3 linked regions of the Ovis aries genome follow. The protein of the gene in region 1 interacts with the protein of each later gene in a biochemical or structural test. Links are inferred from orthologs where the notes say so. Each region holds a gene or a part of one and is shown on either strand. Other genes may lie near its edges.

Region 1 (3,996 bases):
AGGTGATCATACCCTTGCAACTGAAGGGGATCACGTGCTTGTTTAGGGAGGCTGGAGGATCCCAGATTCTGAGTGCCCAGTGGATCCTGGAAAGGAATATGAACTTTGACCCATGTCACAGGGGCAGGCCTATTTTCTAAACTCTCAGTGCATGGGGAGCTGGAACTCACTCAGAAGCTTGTCTTATTTTATGGCTCAAGGCTATAGTTGTGGGGAGCCCTGAGAATTGCAGGAATTTGGGCCTAGTAAATACGGATGGCTTCACAATACCATCATACAATTAACATGGGAAATTAATAGTTGATTTCTCCAGCAATTTAAGTTAAATGAAGGGTGACATTAATCAACTCGATTCCGATGGAGTTTTCTTTTTTTTCTCCTTCATTATTTTAATCAAAATTTTTTGTACTTAGTAGTTTAAAGATTAGGAATTCAAAATCATATTATTCTTGAGTTGGTCAAGCACTTATTGTTAATAGCAAAATATTGTTGTGTTTGATTTGTGGATAAATTGGCAGATCAGCATTGTCTCCAGAGAGTGACTGCGCATGAACTAGGCAAGAGATTGGGGGTCTCTCAGCAATGTACTGTGCCCAGAGGTAGACCGCGGTTTCTTCTCTTCCCGGGTCACGTCTGAAATGGCAGGATGTTGACATTGTACTAAAAGTAGGTTGAGAGTACGCGCTGTCCTTTCAGTGTCCAAGCCATCTTCCCGACACCTGACCCTGCAGCCCTGAAGGATCGCCGCATGGAGAACCTGGTGGCCTACGCTAAGAAAGTAGAAGGGGACATGTACGAGTCTGCCAACAGCAGGGTGGGTCAGCGTTCGCGTTCCAGCCGCATGGCCCCCGGGTGACCTGTGACTGCAGGTCTGGACGTGGGGAGGAGGGGGGCTTCCATCAGCCTGCTGGTCTCCTCGCCTGAGGACACTGACCAGGGAGATGTCCCAGCTAAGACTTGAGGTCCTCCCTGCATACCTCTCTTGGTTTGTAACTGCAAAATCTTAAAGTGTCCCCACTACAGGGGTAAATGAAGTTTTTCTAATTTGTGGGTATACTTTATAGTGGAGTGTTGTTATACTATGTTGTCACCTGTGTCAGTGAGTATGCAAGAAGAGGTTCAGCTGTGGAATGAACTGTCATGAGGACTTAGTACCCCCTGACTGTTAAGTCACATAGCATCCCTGGGCTTTGGTTTATGAGTTAGAAGTGCTGAATACTTTACCCAGTGTAAATAATTTTAATTTAAAAGTTCATTAGTTTGTTAGACCCTACAAAACCAGATCAGTTGTTTGTTTGCAAATAACTAGTATTGAATGTTGCTGCTTTTTAGGATGAATACTATCACTTACTAGCAGAGAAAATCTACAAGATTCAAAAAGAGCTAGAAGAAAAGCGGAGATCACGTTTACACAAACAAGGCATCTTGGGTAACCAGCCAGCCTTACCAGCCCCCGGGACACAGCCGCCTGGAATACCCCAGGCGCAGCCTGTGAGACCTCCGAGTAAGACTGCATGTCCCGCCCCGGTCTGTCCCCTCTGTGTCTTTCCGCGTTTGGTGTGCGTTTCTCAGCACACAGAGTTACATTCCCAGGAAACCTGTTGCTTTGAAAGCATGTGGTAGTGGCTGTGTGCTGTGGTGGCCTATGTTTAGACGTTGAGTCTCACAGAAAGGCCCTTTAAAGGGTGTGCTGGCATCAGAGTGCACAGCACTTTTGGATCTGCTCTTCTCTTTAAATCTAAAGGATTATTTTAAGTAACCTCCTTTTTTTTTCTGCCATTGTAGATGGGCCCATGCCTCTTCCAGTGAATCGTATGCAGGTTTCTCAAGGTATTTAACTGTTGTTGTAAATCATATTTTAGCTTAACATTCTGCCACACAAAGTTTATTGGTTTGTCCTCTTCCCTGTGTATTTCTTTCTCTCCATTTTTCCTTCAGTTTTTCTTTTCTAATTGCTTCCCCCACCCCCCTACCCCAGTGATGAGCATGGTGCATGTCCACAGGTAGTATGAACATCTGTTGCATTTGGAAGTTTGGAAATCACAGCAAAGCTCTCCAAGGAGATCAGAAGTAGGCGTTCACTTTTTTTTTTTTTTTTTTTTTGATGGACAAGAGGAAACATTTCTCTTGGAAGAGTCTCAAAAAAAAAAAAAAGCATTGTAGGAGGGGGAAAGAAGCATTTCTGAGCATTTGTAAGTAGGGTGTCAGGCCTATCCTAAAGCCCGAGCACCCTGATTAGGGGGGTGGGAGGGACGGGTGAGGCTGCTCTGGGCTACTGAGCACAGGCGCCATGCCTACCAGGCTCGCCGAGGAGGGCCTGTGCTCCTGGCAACTAGTCTGAGCAGCTTCCAGAGGTTCTTTCTCAAGTTGAGAGTCTTTGGTCGTGGTTGAAGCAGTCATTTGAGTTTGGGGGTGAGGGTCATTTCAGAGTTTTTACAGCTCTTGGCAGGTTGAGACCTGAACAGTAGGATGTTTCTGCTGATTGTGAAATGAGATGGTGACATTATCCAGCAGATTCCAAAGCAGGGCCTTGCTGCTGTGTGTGGAGTAGTTCAGGGAGAGAGTGGTCATTCTAACAGCTGTGGTGATCGTCCTTCACACCACACCAGACCTGGTGGAGCTGCTGATGATACTGCGGAGGAAAGTTTTCAGGGACTTGTTCAGATGAACCAGATGTGAAGAGTGAAAGAAATCAAGAAGGCAGAGAAATTGAGCCTTCGGAGGGGCAGGGTGCTGTATCAGGGACAGGGTGGACGAGTCTGCTGCTCTGGGGTCTGAGAAGGGGGCTGTTGAGCAGAGTGTGGACGGAGGAGCCTTTGAAGGAAGCGCTTGCATGCCCCTGTCAGCGGCACGTCCAGGTCTGTGGAGAGGAACTTGTTACGGTGCCGCTTCTTCGTGCATCTTTTTCGCTTGCTCAGTAAAATCTCCTCTTGTCAATAAAACCCTCCAGAAGAGCAGGGCCCTTTGTTCTGTGGGCTTCCTGGAAAGTCCTAGTTACTCAGGGGGACATTTCTCACTGGTGCTGAGGGGACCGGTGCTCTGTGATGCCCTCTCCTGCTCCACAGTTAAGGCTGTGCCTCAGGATTCTGTTCACGGCCACAGGACTGGGCTAAGTCCTGAGACTTACTGAAGCAGCATTTACATTGAGCTCAGAGTTCACAGAGGATTGTGGGAAATTACAGGCAGAGAGGCTCCGTGGCCCAGAGTCGGGTAGCGGCTGGGGAGGGTTGCAGTTCACGGTGTGGCACCCCTGGGAAGGCCGAGGCAGCCATGAAAGTGAGACCTTTCCAGTCGGCAGAGAGGAGGCTGAAGCTGAGAACCGCCAGCCCTTGGGCACTTTCTAAATGCTTAATGTCCTTGCAAAATTAAAGCCAAGTTTTGAGTCTTATCCCAGATTCTAACAATAAATGTAAGCCCAGCCAAAGAGCTGGAGGGCCTGGGGTGATGGGAGCGGGCTTCCTGCCGGGAGTCAGGTGGTCCAGAAGGCTCTGAGGGGTTGGCTCAGAGGGTGCCCTGGCCTCAGCAGGCCTCCTCCATGCGTGGTGGGTGCTCCTTCCCACCGCCCCACCCACCCATCTGCCCCGTCACTCGGACCCTGGGATGCTCTGGCGCCGAGTGCTGCCTTGGCTTCAGCTGCTCGCAGCTTCCCTGACGCGCCACCTTCCTCTCCTCACGCTGCCCTGCCTGCTCCCCACCCACCGCCTCCCCACCCCATGGTGGTGCCGTTGTTCCTGGATCTGAGCAGTCTGTTGCTCAGCCATCTTTTCTGATTGACTGGTCTCCTTTCAGTTGTGTATGTAGTGTGTGTGTTCCATCTTATTTGGCTTCAAGTTTCTCTAGCAAATCGTCATTCTGTTTTCCTGTGGGTGCTTTTCCTAATGAACTGTTGTGGGTACGTTTACAGGGATGAATTCATTTAACCCAATATCCTTGGGGAACGTACAGTTGCCACAAGCGCCCATGGGACCGCGTGCGGCATCCCCCATGAACCACTCT
Region 2 (4,619 bases), on another chromosome or scaffold:
CCACTGGCGCCTAGGGTGAGGCCGGTGAGGCGCCCAGATCATGAAATTTAAGAAGGCTTTCACTCTCGGGGATGGCCTGAATCTACACCCAGAACCGACGTCTGCGACCTCTGTACCTCTTCTGTACCTGCTGGCACCAGGCTCCTTTTCATTTCCCGGGCACAAGTCGCGCTGTCTATGCTGCTGGCCCTGCTTCCGGTGTCCTCACGTCCTGCCCCAGTGTACTAATGCCCTCCCAGTTTTTGTCCTTTGGCACTGCTCCCTGTGTTCCAGGCTCTTTACTGTACCAGGGGACCCTCCAGCTGCTCTTCAATCCTGTTGTTGGCCTTGATCCTTGAGCCCCGAAATCCAATTCGTGTTCCACGCCCTGTCCCGGGTAATTACTTCTTTCCCTCAGCTAGACTTGGCCCCTCCTCCCTATGTTCCTGGATAGGTCTGTACACGTGGCCCCATCACCCCTAGGCACAGGCCTCCTTCCTCCTCCTCCTGGCCCTCTATTCCATGTCCCAGCCCTTCTTTGGCTCCTTGGGTCCCCAGCTTTTCCTCCTGTGCCCACCCTCCTCTGTTTCCAAGCTATTTATCTTCAGACTCCAGGAACTGCCTCTGCATCTGGGCCCCTCAAACTAAACCTCCTGAGCTCCAGCACGCCCCCTACAGTCTGGCTAAGCCACTCCCTCTTTATATTCCTGGCTACGGCCCCTGAAAGGCTTCCCAGATGAAAAGTAAGTCGCACACTATTTGTCTTTGCGGTCCCCTGGACTGTAGCTTGCCCAGCTCCTCTGTCCATGGAATTCTCCAGGCAGGAGTATTGGAGTGGGTTGTCATTTCTTTCTCCAGGGGATCTTCCCGAGCCAGGGATCGAACCCGGGTCTCTGCACTGCAGGCAGATTCTTTACCAACCGAGCCCCAGGCTGCGCAGTGGTAAAGAATCCGCCTGCGGATGCAGGAGACGCAGGAAAGGCGAGTTCGATCCCTGGATCTGGGAGACACCCCCCCCCCCCCGCCCCACGGCAGAGAGTACAGTCCATTGGGTGGCAAAGAGTCGGACACGTCTGAGCACGGCGGTCCCTGAACCCCTTACTCCCACTTGCCCCAAACCTGAACCCTGCGTCTTTGGCCCTGTCCTTGGTATTCCGCCTTTCTCGCCCGCGGCCCCTCCTCTAGCCCCGCCCCTACACAGCTTGCCGGGCTCTCTGCTTTTCGGCACTTCCTTGGTCCAGGTCTTAGCCGTTGGTTTCCTGAAATGTTTTCCGAGTTCTCTCTCTGTCCCCACCCGCCTTCCCCTTTGCTCTTCGGCTGACTCCTGAAGTTCCAAGCATCCCAGCTCCCTCGGCGTAGCCCTTTGCTTCGACTTTGCTTTAGCCCTTCCCCTTGCTCCAGTTTCTAGCTCCTCGACAGCTCCCAGCTCCCAAGGCCCCGCCCAGCCCGCCCAGCCCCTGCACCGGGGCCCGCCCCCTCACCTGTGTGCGTGCGTAGATGCGCCTTCAGGTGCGAGCTCTTGGTGTAGCTCTTGCCGCATCCCGGGTGCGTGCACGTGTGCGCAGCCTGCCTCTTGCGTGCCCAAGATCGCCGGCTGCGCTTGGATGGGGCGGCCTCCGCGGTCCCTCCTGGGTCTCCTGTAGTCCCCCCGAGTCCTGCACCCGTCGTCCCGGGCCCTAGACAACTCAGGAAGGAGTGGGGCGAGGCGGGGCCAGGTGCCGGCGCCTGGAGCCCGCGGAAGAGCTGGAAATGCCCTTGGTACTGCGGCATCGGGTACAGCGCGGGGTACCCGGACAGCAGCCCGTAGGGGGCGCCCGGCGCTGCAGACACTGAAAGCCCGGTCCTCGGGAAGTAGCTGCCGGAGGAACCCGCGCCCGGTCCCGGGTACAACGGCTGCAACGGCAGCGCTTTGGGCTCGGGGGTCGGGATCAGGGATGGGCCCACGAAGGTATCGGGAGCCGGGGTTCGTGGGGCCGGGCGCGCCCAGCCCAGGTGCTCCTCAGGGCCCAAGAGCCCAGCCACCAGCCCCGGGCCGTCCGCATACGCGCCCAGAGTCTCGGGCGGCGGTGGGAATTGCGCTCCGGAACCCTCTCCGGGCGCCAGAGCGCAAGGCTGAGGCGCGCAGGTCTGGGGCGCACCGCCGGGCTCTGAGCACGGGAAGTTGGTGAAGAGGAGATCCAGGTCCCAGGGGGTAGCTGCGTCCCTGTCATCATCTTCGTCCTCCCCAGGTGCGTTCTCCAGCTCAGGCCTCACGTGGAGGGGTGGTCCAGTATGGTTGGGGGGGCCCGGGCCCAAGTCCTGCACGTCTTCAGAGCGCCACCACTGGGGGAAGGAGCCGGTAACATGGAGCTTCAGCGGACACCAAGGTATCCTGTCCATAGACGGTGGGGGCCGGATGCCCTGATGGGGGCAGGCTGGCCAGAGGCTCCGTAAAGGGGTCTTGTTTGCTTCTCTGTCATGCCAGTTTGTCCCACTCCCTCACACTTGTCCGTCTCCCCCCCTCAGCCCCCCCAGCTCCAGAGACGTCTATCGGGTCAGGCTGGAGACAGGAGATAAAGCTTATATTATCTAGAGTCTCCTGCCACGCTCAGGCATGGGGGAAGGGTTGGCAGAACCAAGAATGGAAGGCTAGGGGAGGCTCAGCCTTGCCTCAGTTTCCCCCAAGAATCTTCCTCCCCTTCCAGGTCCCCTAACAAGATTAATTCCTGGGTGTCCCCTCACCACAGCTGTCATTTCCCTCTTATATCTGGGAGTGTCTCACTGAGCCTAGATCCCTGTGTTCTGTTCCCAGCCTCAGTCTCCCATGACAGAAATAGGACCTTAGACCAAGTTCAGATCCCTGGCCTGCACTGAGGACTCCCGGTCCTGAGCAGGGCAAGATGTGAATTCCAGGGCAAGATGCAGACCCGGCCCCCCAATTCTGTGGCCAGGACCCAGAACCCCTGCCGGCCCATCTAGACCCCCACCTGACCCCACCTTGAGGATGTCTTCTTGTGTGTCCGAGAAGGGGCCCAGGGCGGTCAGCGTGCTGATGGAGGGCAAGGCGGTCTCCGCTGCAGCCATGGCTGGCTGGTGCCCACCCTGGGGCTCAGGCCTCCTCTCCCTTGGCGGCCTCGTGGGCTCTGAGGCTCTGATGGCCCCTTGAAGGGCTCCTCTCTGCCCTCAGCTGATTGGCTGCAGCCCCTGATAAGGGCCAGGCGAAGGCGGGGGTCACCGTTTCTGGGGAACAGACTTCACCCAGGCCTGTTCAGGGCTGAGTCTTGAAGACTGACCGTGTATCTGAAGCCAATCAGATGTTCAGGGTCTAAGGGTTCAGGGGATAGGGGTTCAGGAGACGGGGGTTCAGGGGTTGGGCAGAGTGAGGCAATGTGTTCCCAAAGAAGGAGAAACTTGGAGGCCTGTTCTCAGCTACCTTCCTGGAGAAGAGGTGATGGGCACAATGGGGATTCTAGGAAGGAGCTTCAAGACCCCCTTGCCCCTGACCAGGGCCTTGCAGCTCTCCCCTTCACCATAAACAGCAGCTACCATGCTGATGGCGGGACTTGGCATGAACTCCCTGCCAAGTCAAGCATTATCAGACTCCCCAGACGTTGGAGGCTGCTATCAGGTGGGGGCCCAGAACAGCCAAGGCTCTGTCCCTGGTGAGTGGGAGGGCCAGGGGCTGGGGATTAACTTGGTTTTCAATTTCCTGGGTTGTGAGCTCCCCAGGTCTGAGACCAGTGGCAGGAGAGGCCCCTGCCAATCAGTGGTCACTGTTTACCGTGGACAGCCCTCACCCCACCTCAGGCGACTTGCAGGGGGAATGGGGAGGCTGAGGCTGGAGCAACTACAACTGCTCTAGATGGGGCGGCGGGGTTTGGGACGAGGAGGCCACCTACTCGCCTGGGGGGGATGGGACTGTTGCATCAGGCCATAGGAAGTACTTGATTGGGAGGTGACCCAATTACTACTTCCCTTGTGGCTCAGCTGGTGAAAAATCTGCCTGCAATGCAGGAGACCTGGGTTTGATCCCTGGGTTGGGAAGATCCCCTGGAGAAGGGAAGGGCTACCCACTCCAGTATTCTGGCCTGGAGAATTCCATGGACTGTATAGTCCATGGGGTTGCAAAGAATTAGACGTGACTGAGCAACTTTCACTTTCTACCTCACAGTGGGGAGAGATCTAGGTTCTGCAACAGAGACTTCCACCATGGTGCCCAGGGATTCCAGGTGATGACACAGACATATAGTTCACAGTCGCACACAGACATTATGCAATTGTATAATGACACAAATTCCTAAAGGAAATCAGTCCTGGGTGTTCATTGGAAGGACTGATGCTGAAGCTGAAACTCCAGTACTTTGGCCATCTCATGAGAAGAGCTGACTCATTGGAAAAGACCCTGATGCTGGGAGGGATTGAGGGCAGGAGGAGAAGGGGACGACAGAGGATGAGATGGCTGGATGGCATCACCGACTCAATGGACATGAGTTTGAGTGAACTCCGGGAGTCGGTGATGGACAGGGAGGCCTGGCCTGCTGCAATTCATGGGGTCGAAAAGAGTTAGACACGACTGAACGACTGAACTGAACTGAACTGAAACAAGTGGGCTTCCCAGGTGGTGCTAGTGGCAAAGAACTCACCTGCCAATGTAGGAGACA
Region 3 (4,497 bases), on another chromosome or scaffold:
TGAAGCGCAGCTGGGGAAAGGTGCGGAGCTGTGTGTGTGTGTGTGTGTGTGTGTGTGTGTGTGTGTGTGTGTGTGTGTAGGGGCAGAAGAGGCAGGTGCCTCAAGATGCTGCGATGGCCCACGCCAAGTCGAGACAAGAACTGGTGCTAGCGCGCGCAGCCCAATCCCGGCTGCGGCAGGGAGGGGGCGGGGGACAGGGACCCTTACCCTCCACTCCCTCCCTCGAGCTCCCGCTCCCGCTCCGCTCAGTGCCTGAACCCAACGCTAGCCAGCTACCTAAGTGGCTCCGAGTCCTTTCCCTACAGTAAGCTTGGGGTGGGGGCGGGGAACTGTCAGCCACGTGCCTGCTCCGGAGCTGAAAGCTGCGAGGGGACGAAGGCCGAGGAGGCATGGCTCAAGGACTGCGGAAGATTCACCCCGCTAGTACTTTCATGCACCCTGTCTTACTTGGACCTTACAAAAACCTGGTGAAGAATGACCTCCATTTCTAAATGGCATTGAAACCAGGAGAGACTACAACGTCTACACCTAGTGTTTCTTACATTTAGTAATAATATAAAGTAATGGAGAGGGAGAAGACTCGAGACTCGGAGACCCTTCCCACCTTGGCATAAAGACCCTAGTTGAGGCGCAGGCCCAGGGCTGGGGGCTGGCCTGCACACAAGACCTATATTCAGTTTTGTCTGCTCTCTACAGTATTGTCCTCTGTCCTTTCACTTGGATCCAGCGTCATCCTCTTCCCTCCTTGCTCCCTGGACTTAGGCATCACTTTGACCAAGGCACCCTCGATGGGAGTCTGAGTCCTTCTTGAGAGCGCCCCCCAGAGAAGTCTCCTGGTGGGAAAGGCAATGAGCCGATCTGGCACCCGTCTTTCGAAGCATAACTGAAGAGTGCTGTCTCGACCCTCAAACTCCTGCTTGCCTGCCCCAAAGCAGCCAAGGGGGCTGGGAAATATGGCCCTGTGCAGTAGGCAGGAGATGGGGTGCCCTGAGCTTTCTCTCCCCACTTAAATAAGGTGGCGAGGAAACTGAATGTTAGCATGTAAGTTGGCTTTGTATTGAGGGAGTGCAGTTCTAAAGGGGAGGATTGAAATCTTGAAATAAAAAGCCAATAAACAAGTTTCCTTAGTACAATTGCTATTAATGGAAAAGGCATCTAACCTGCTGAATTAAATCGTTCAAAAGCGCCTTTTCATCATCAGGAGCTCCTCTACAAGGAAGGAAACGAAAATATGAAAACAAAAACCCAAATCGAGAAGCCTCCTTAACCGGCCCCCGCAGTGTCTTGACGGCCCCTGCCCGACCAGGGAGCGCTCCGCCCTCCCAACCCCTAGCGCGGAGAAGGAGGCTGAAACAGCCAAGGAGAAAAGAAAACAGAATAAAAACAAAACGTTTAAAATCCAAGAGGAAAAGTCGGAGCGGGTCTCAGGATCTGCACAGCGGAGGGCTCGGCTCCGTGGTCCACTCTGCTGGAGGCCGGGGCCTGGCCGGAGCCGCGCGGCGGATTCCTCCGGCCCGCCCGCCCGCTCGGAAAGCGCAGCCTACAGCTCCTCCTCTCCAGGCGCCCAAGGACCCTCAAGGCGCGGGGCTCACACTTGAAGCCTGGGAACGCGCAGACAGGAAACCCACTTCCTCCTAAGCAGTTTCTTGCTAGCCGGCTGAGAGGCGCCCAATTGAAACAGAATGATCCTCATCTACTAATATCCAGCGTGGCCACAAAGCGACTGGCCATTTACGCCGCCACTTTAAACAAAGATATTTGGTTATTCCCGGGAAGCAAGTGCACTTTTGCATGGCTGAGCTCCGGGTGGAGGCAAGCCTCAGCCCAGCCTCCCGCCAGCTGGGCTGCTCACGCCAGGGGATTCGCCCCCTCCCGGCCGGCTAGTCCAGCCGGGGTTCAGGCTCAGTCCCACCCGGCAACAGGCGAGCCGGTTCTCACGCCGCTCCCTGCCCAAGGCCTCCCTGAAGCACTGAGGGGGAAAAACAGTGTGACCCCGGGCTGGGGTGCTGGGCTGTGATGTCCTCGGAAAGTCACCTCCCGTCCCAGACCTCCCCGTGTCTGGACGATGGGCGAGGGTCGGGGACACCAGGTTTGTTCGAGGTGGAGCGACTTCAGCGACGTCCCTTCGCATGAATTCCCGCAGCTTCTCAGCTCGGGCGGCCAGTGGTGGGTCCTTGCCTTAGCTGGGGGTGGGGGTGGGGAAGCATAGCCGTGTGGGGGTTGGGGGGCGGGGTGGGCATGAGGCCGAAGGCCCTGGGCCTCTGAGAAGACCCTGAGCTGGAGGGAAGGGGGGGCGCGGGGATCTGGGACAGCCTGTCGGCGGCAGCCGATCCCCCCTTGCTCAGCGCCCCCTCCACCCGCGGGGATTCTCTCTCGGGTAGGGGGGAAAGGGGGCGGGGAGCAGAGGTGTCCTTCTGACGGAGGCAGAAGAGGCAGACAGACTGACAGACAAGCAGACCAACAGTGCGGCCCCGGGGTGCGGCCCCTGACTCCCGAGCTCCTTTGGTGGCGACTGGGGCTCGGCGCCGCGAAGCCAGATGTGGTCCGGAGGCAGTGGGAAGGCGCGGGGCTGGGAGGCCGCGGCGGGAGGGAGGAGCGGCCCCAGCAGGCTCAGGTGAAACCCCCACCCCGTCCTCGGCCCACTCCCTGTCCCCGCCCCGGGAGCCCCGACCGAATGGGAAAGTGGTTCACTTTGTAACTCCGCAAGTTGGTTGCAAAGCAGCATTCACCTTCCTTCCTCCCCAGCAGCCCTCCTCCTCGGCTACTCCCCATCCCACCTCTTGCCCTCCCCTCTCTCGGTTCCCTCCTCCTTTTCCTCCCCCCGACTCCGCACCCCCCCCTCCCGCGCGCCAGCGTACCCCACAAAAATGAGGGTAGGGGGTCCGGGGGAGAAATGCTTTGGGTCGCGTCTCTGCCTCTCTCTCTCTCTGTCTCTCTCTCTCCCTCTTTGAGACCTAAAAATCCTGACAAGTGAAACTTAAAGGTGTTTACCTTGTCATCAGCATGTAAGCTAATTATCTCGGGCAAGATGTAGGCTTCTATTGTCTTGTTGCTTTAGCGCTTACGCCCCGCCTCTGGTGGCTGCCTAAAACCTGGCGCCGGGCTAAAACAAACGCGAGGCAGCCCCCGAGCCTCCACTCAAGCCAATTAAGGCGGACTCGGTCCACTCGGTTACGTGTACATCCAACAAGATCGGCGTTAAGGTAACACCAGAATATTTGGCAAAGGGAGAAAAAAAAAAAAAAAGCAGCGAGGCTTCGCCTTCCCCCTCTCCCTTTTTTTTCCTCCTCTTCCTTCCTCCTCCAGCCGCCGCCGAATCATGTCGATGAGTCCAAAGCACACGACTCCGTTCTCAGTGTCTGACATCTTGAGTCCCCTGGAGGAAAGCTACAAGAAAGTGGGCATGGAGGGCGGCGGCCTCGGGGCTCCGCTGGCGGCTTACAGGCAGGGCCAGGCGGCACCGCCGGCCGCGGCCATGCAGCAGCACGCCGTGGGGCACCACGGCGCAGTCACCGCCGCCTACCACATGACGGCGGCGGGGGTGCCCCAGCTCTCGCACTCCGCCGTGGGGGGCTACTGCAACGGCAACCTGGGCAACATGAGCGAGCTGCCGCCGTACCAGGACACCATGCGGAACAGCGCCTCGGGCCCCGGATGGTACGGCGCCAACCCAGACCCGCGCTTCCCCGCCAGTAAGTGAGGCCGCCCCACCGCGGGGCCGCGGGTTGAGCGCAGGAGGCGCGGGGAAGACCCGCCGGGAAGGCGCGGCGCCCGCCGGCTGCGCGCTGGGCATCAGAGGTGGGCGGCCGGGCAGTGGCGCCAAGGAGTCGGGTGTAGGAGCTGGGGAGTCTGCCCTGGTTGAGCTGAGGGGTCCAAGAAGAGGGACTCGGTAGCCCTGGAGTCCTGAGGGCAGGAACTAGTATTTGGCGTTTGCCAGATGCGGCCAATTGGCCGCTCTGCTCCGGCGCGGGAGAGCGCGGAGGCAGGCGTCCCCCCAGCTAAGAGAGCCGGGATGAGCAGAGGTCGGAGGGGCGCGGCCTGGCCGGGAGGGAGGGTGCCCTGCTGGGACGCGCTCAGGCCCCGGGCCTGGCCCGCTCTCCAGGCTAGGCAGGTGGGAGGGCGCGCGGCTCCAGACGGGGTTCTAAATGGGCCGAGCCGGTGCCCTCAGCGGGCTGACAGGAGCCAGCGGCCAAGGCACAAAGAGTCTGGGGTCTCAAGCTTTCGAAAATGAACACCTCCCTCTCCCAAGCTCCCACGGCTGGGTGTCTACCGTTAGACCCCGGCTCCTGACGTGAGCCCGGTTTGCTGCCGGCTAACCCCACGAATCCGGAGGGCTGGGCAGGAAAGGAACAGGGAAGGTTTTCTCCACTCTGCTTTTATGGGTAAAGCACTGAGACAGAGGGAGGTAGCCGGGGTTGAGGCGGGGAGCTCTGCAGTACACCCCCTCGACGGCGCGGCCTCGAGGCAGGCGCCTTCGATCGCCGCGGCTGGGCCTCT

The links. The genes of interacting proteins can lie anywhere in the genome.
Region 2: the proteins of CREBBP (region 1) and KLF1 form a complex in vitro, tested with the Homo sapiens proteins (2 studies listed by BioGRID and IntAct, with this or other methods). The link is inferred for Ovis aries from reciprocal best matches to the Homo sapiens genes CREBBP and KLF1.
Region 3: the proteins of CREBBP (region 1) and NKX2-1 form a complex in vitro, tested with the Homo sapiens proteins (2 studies listed by BioGRID, with this or other methods). The link is inferred for Ovis aries from reciprocal best matches to the Homo sapiens genes CREBBP and NKX2-1.

Annotation. Positions count from the first base shown.
Region 1 is NC_056077.1:3,653,006-3,657,001, reverse strand, and holds part of CREBBP (CREB-binding protein), read left to right. Parts: intron 1-696; coding exon 697-814; intron 815-1,332; coding exon 1,333-1,504; intron 1,505-1,785; coding exon 1,786-1,830; intron 1,831-3,904; coding exon 3,905-3,996. UniProt on the Homo sapiens protein: Acetylates histones, giving a specific tag for transcriptional activation. Mediates acetylation of histone H3 at 'Lys-18' and 'Lys-27' (H3K18ac and H3K27ac, respectively).
Region 2 is NC_056058.1:10,971,749-10,976,367, reverse strand, and holds the start of KLF1 (Krueppel-like factor 1), read right to left. Parts: upstream 3,104-4,619; 5' UTR 3,043-3,103; coding exon 2,956-3,042; intron 2,302-2,955; coding exon 1,461-2,301; intron 1-1,460. UniProt on the Homo sapiens protein: Transcription regulator of erythrocyte development that probably serves as a general switch factor during erythropoiesis. Is a dual regulator of fetal-to-adult globin switching.
Region 3 is NC_056071.1:44,440,614-44,445,110, reverse strand, and holds the start of NKX2-1 (homeobox protein Nkx-2.1), read left to right. Parts: upstream 1-1,394; 5' UTR 1,395-2,065; coding exon 2,066-2,166; intron 2,167-2,438; exon of another isoform or gene 2,439-2,537; coding exon of another isoform or gene 2,538-2,614; intron 2,615-3,114; exon of another isoform or gene 3,115-3,203; intron 3,204-3,306; coding exon 3,307-3,692; intron 3,693-4,497. UniProt on the Homo sapiens protein: Transcription factor that binds and activates the promoter of thyroid specific genes such as thyroglobulin, thyroperoxidase, and thyrotropin receptor. Crucial in the maintenance of the thyroid differentiation phenotype.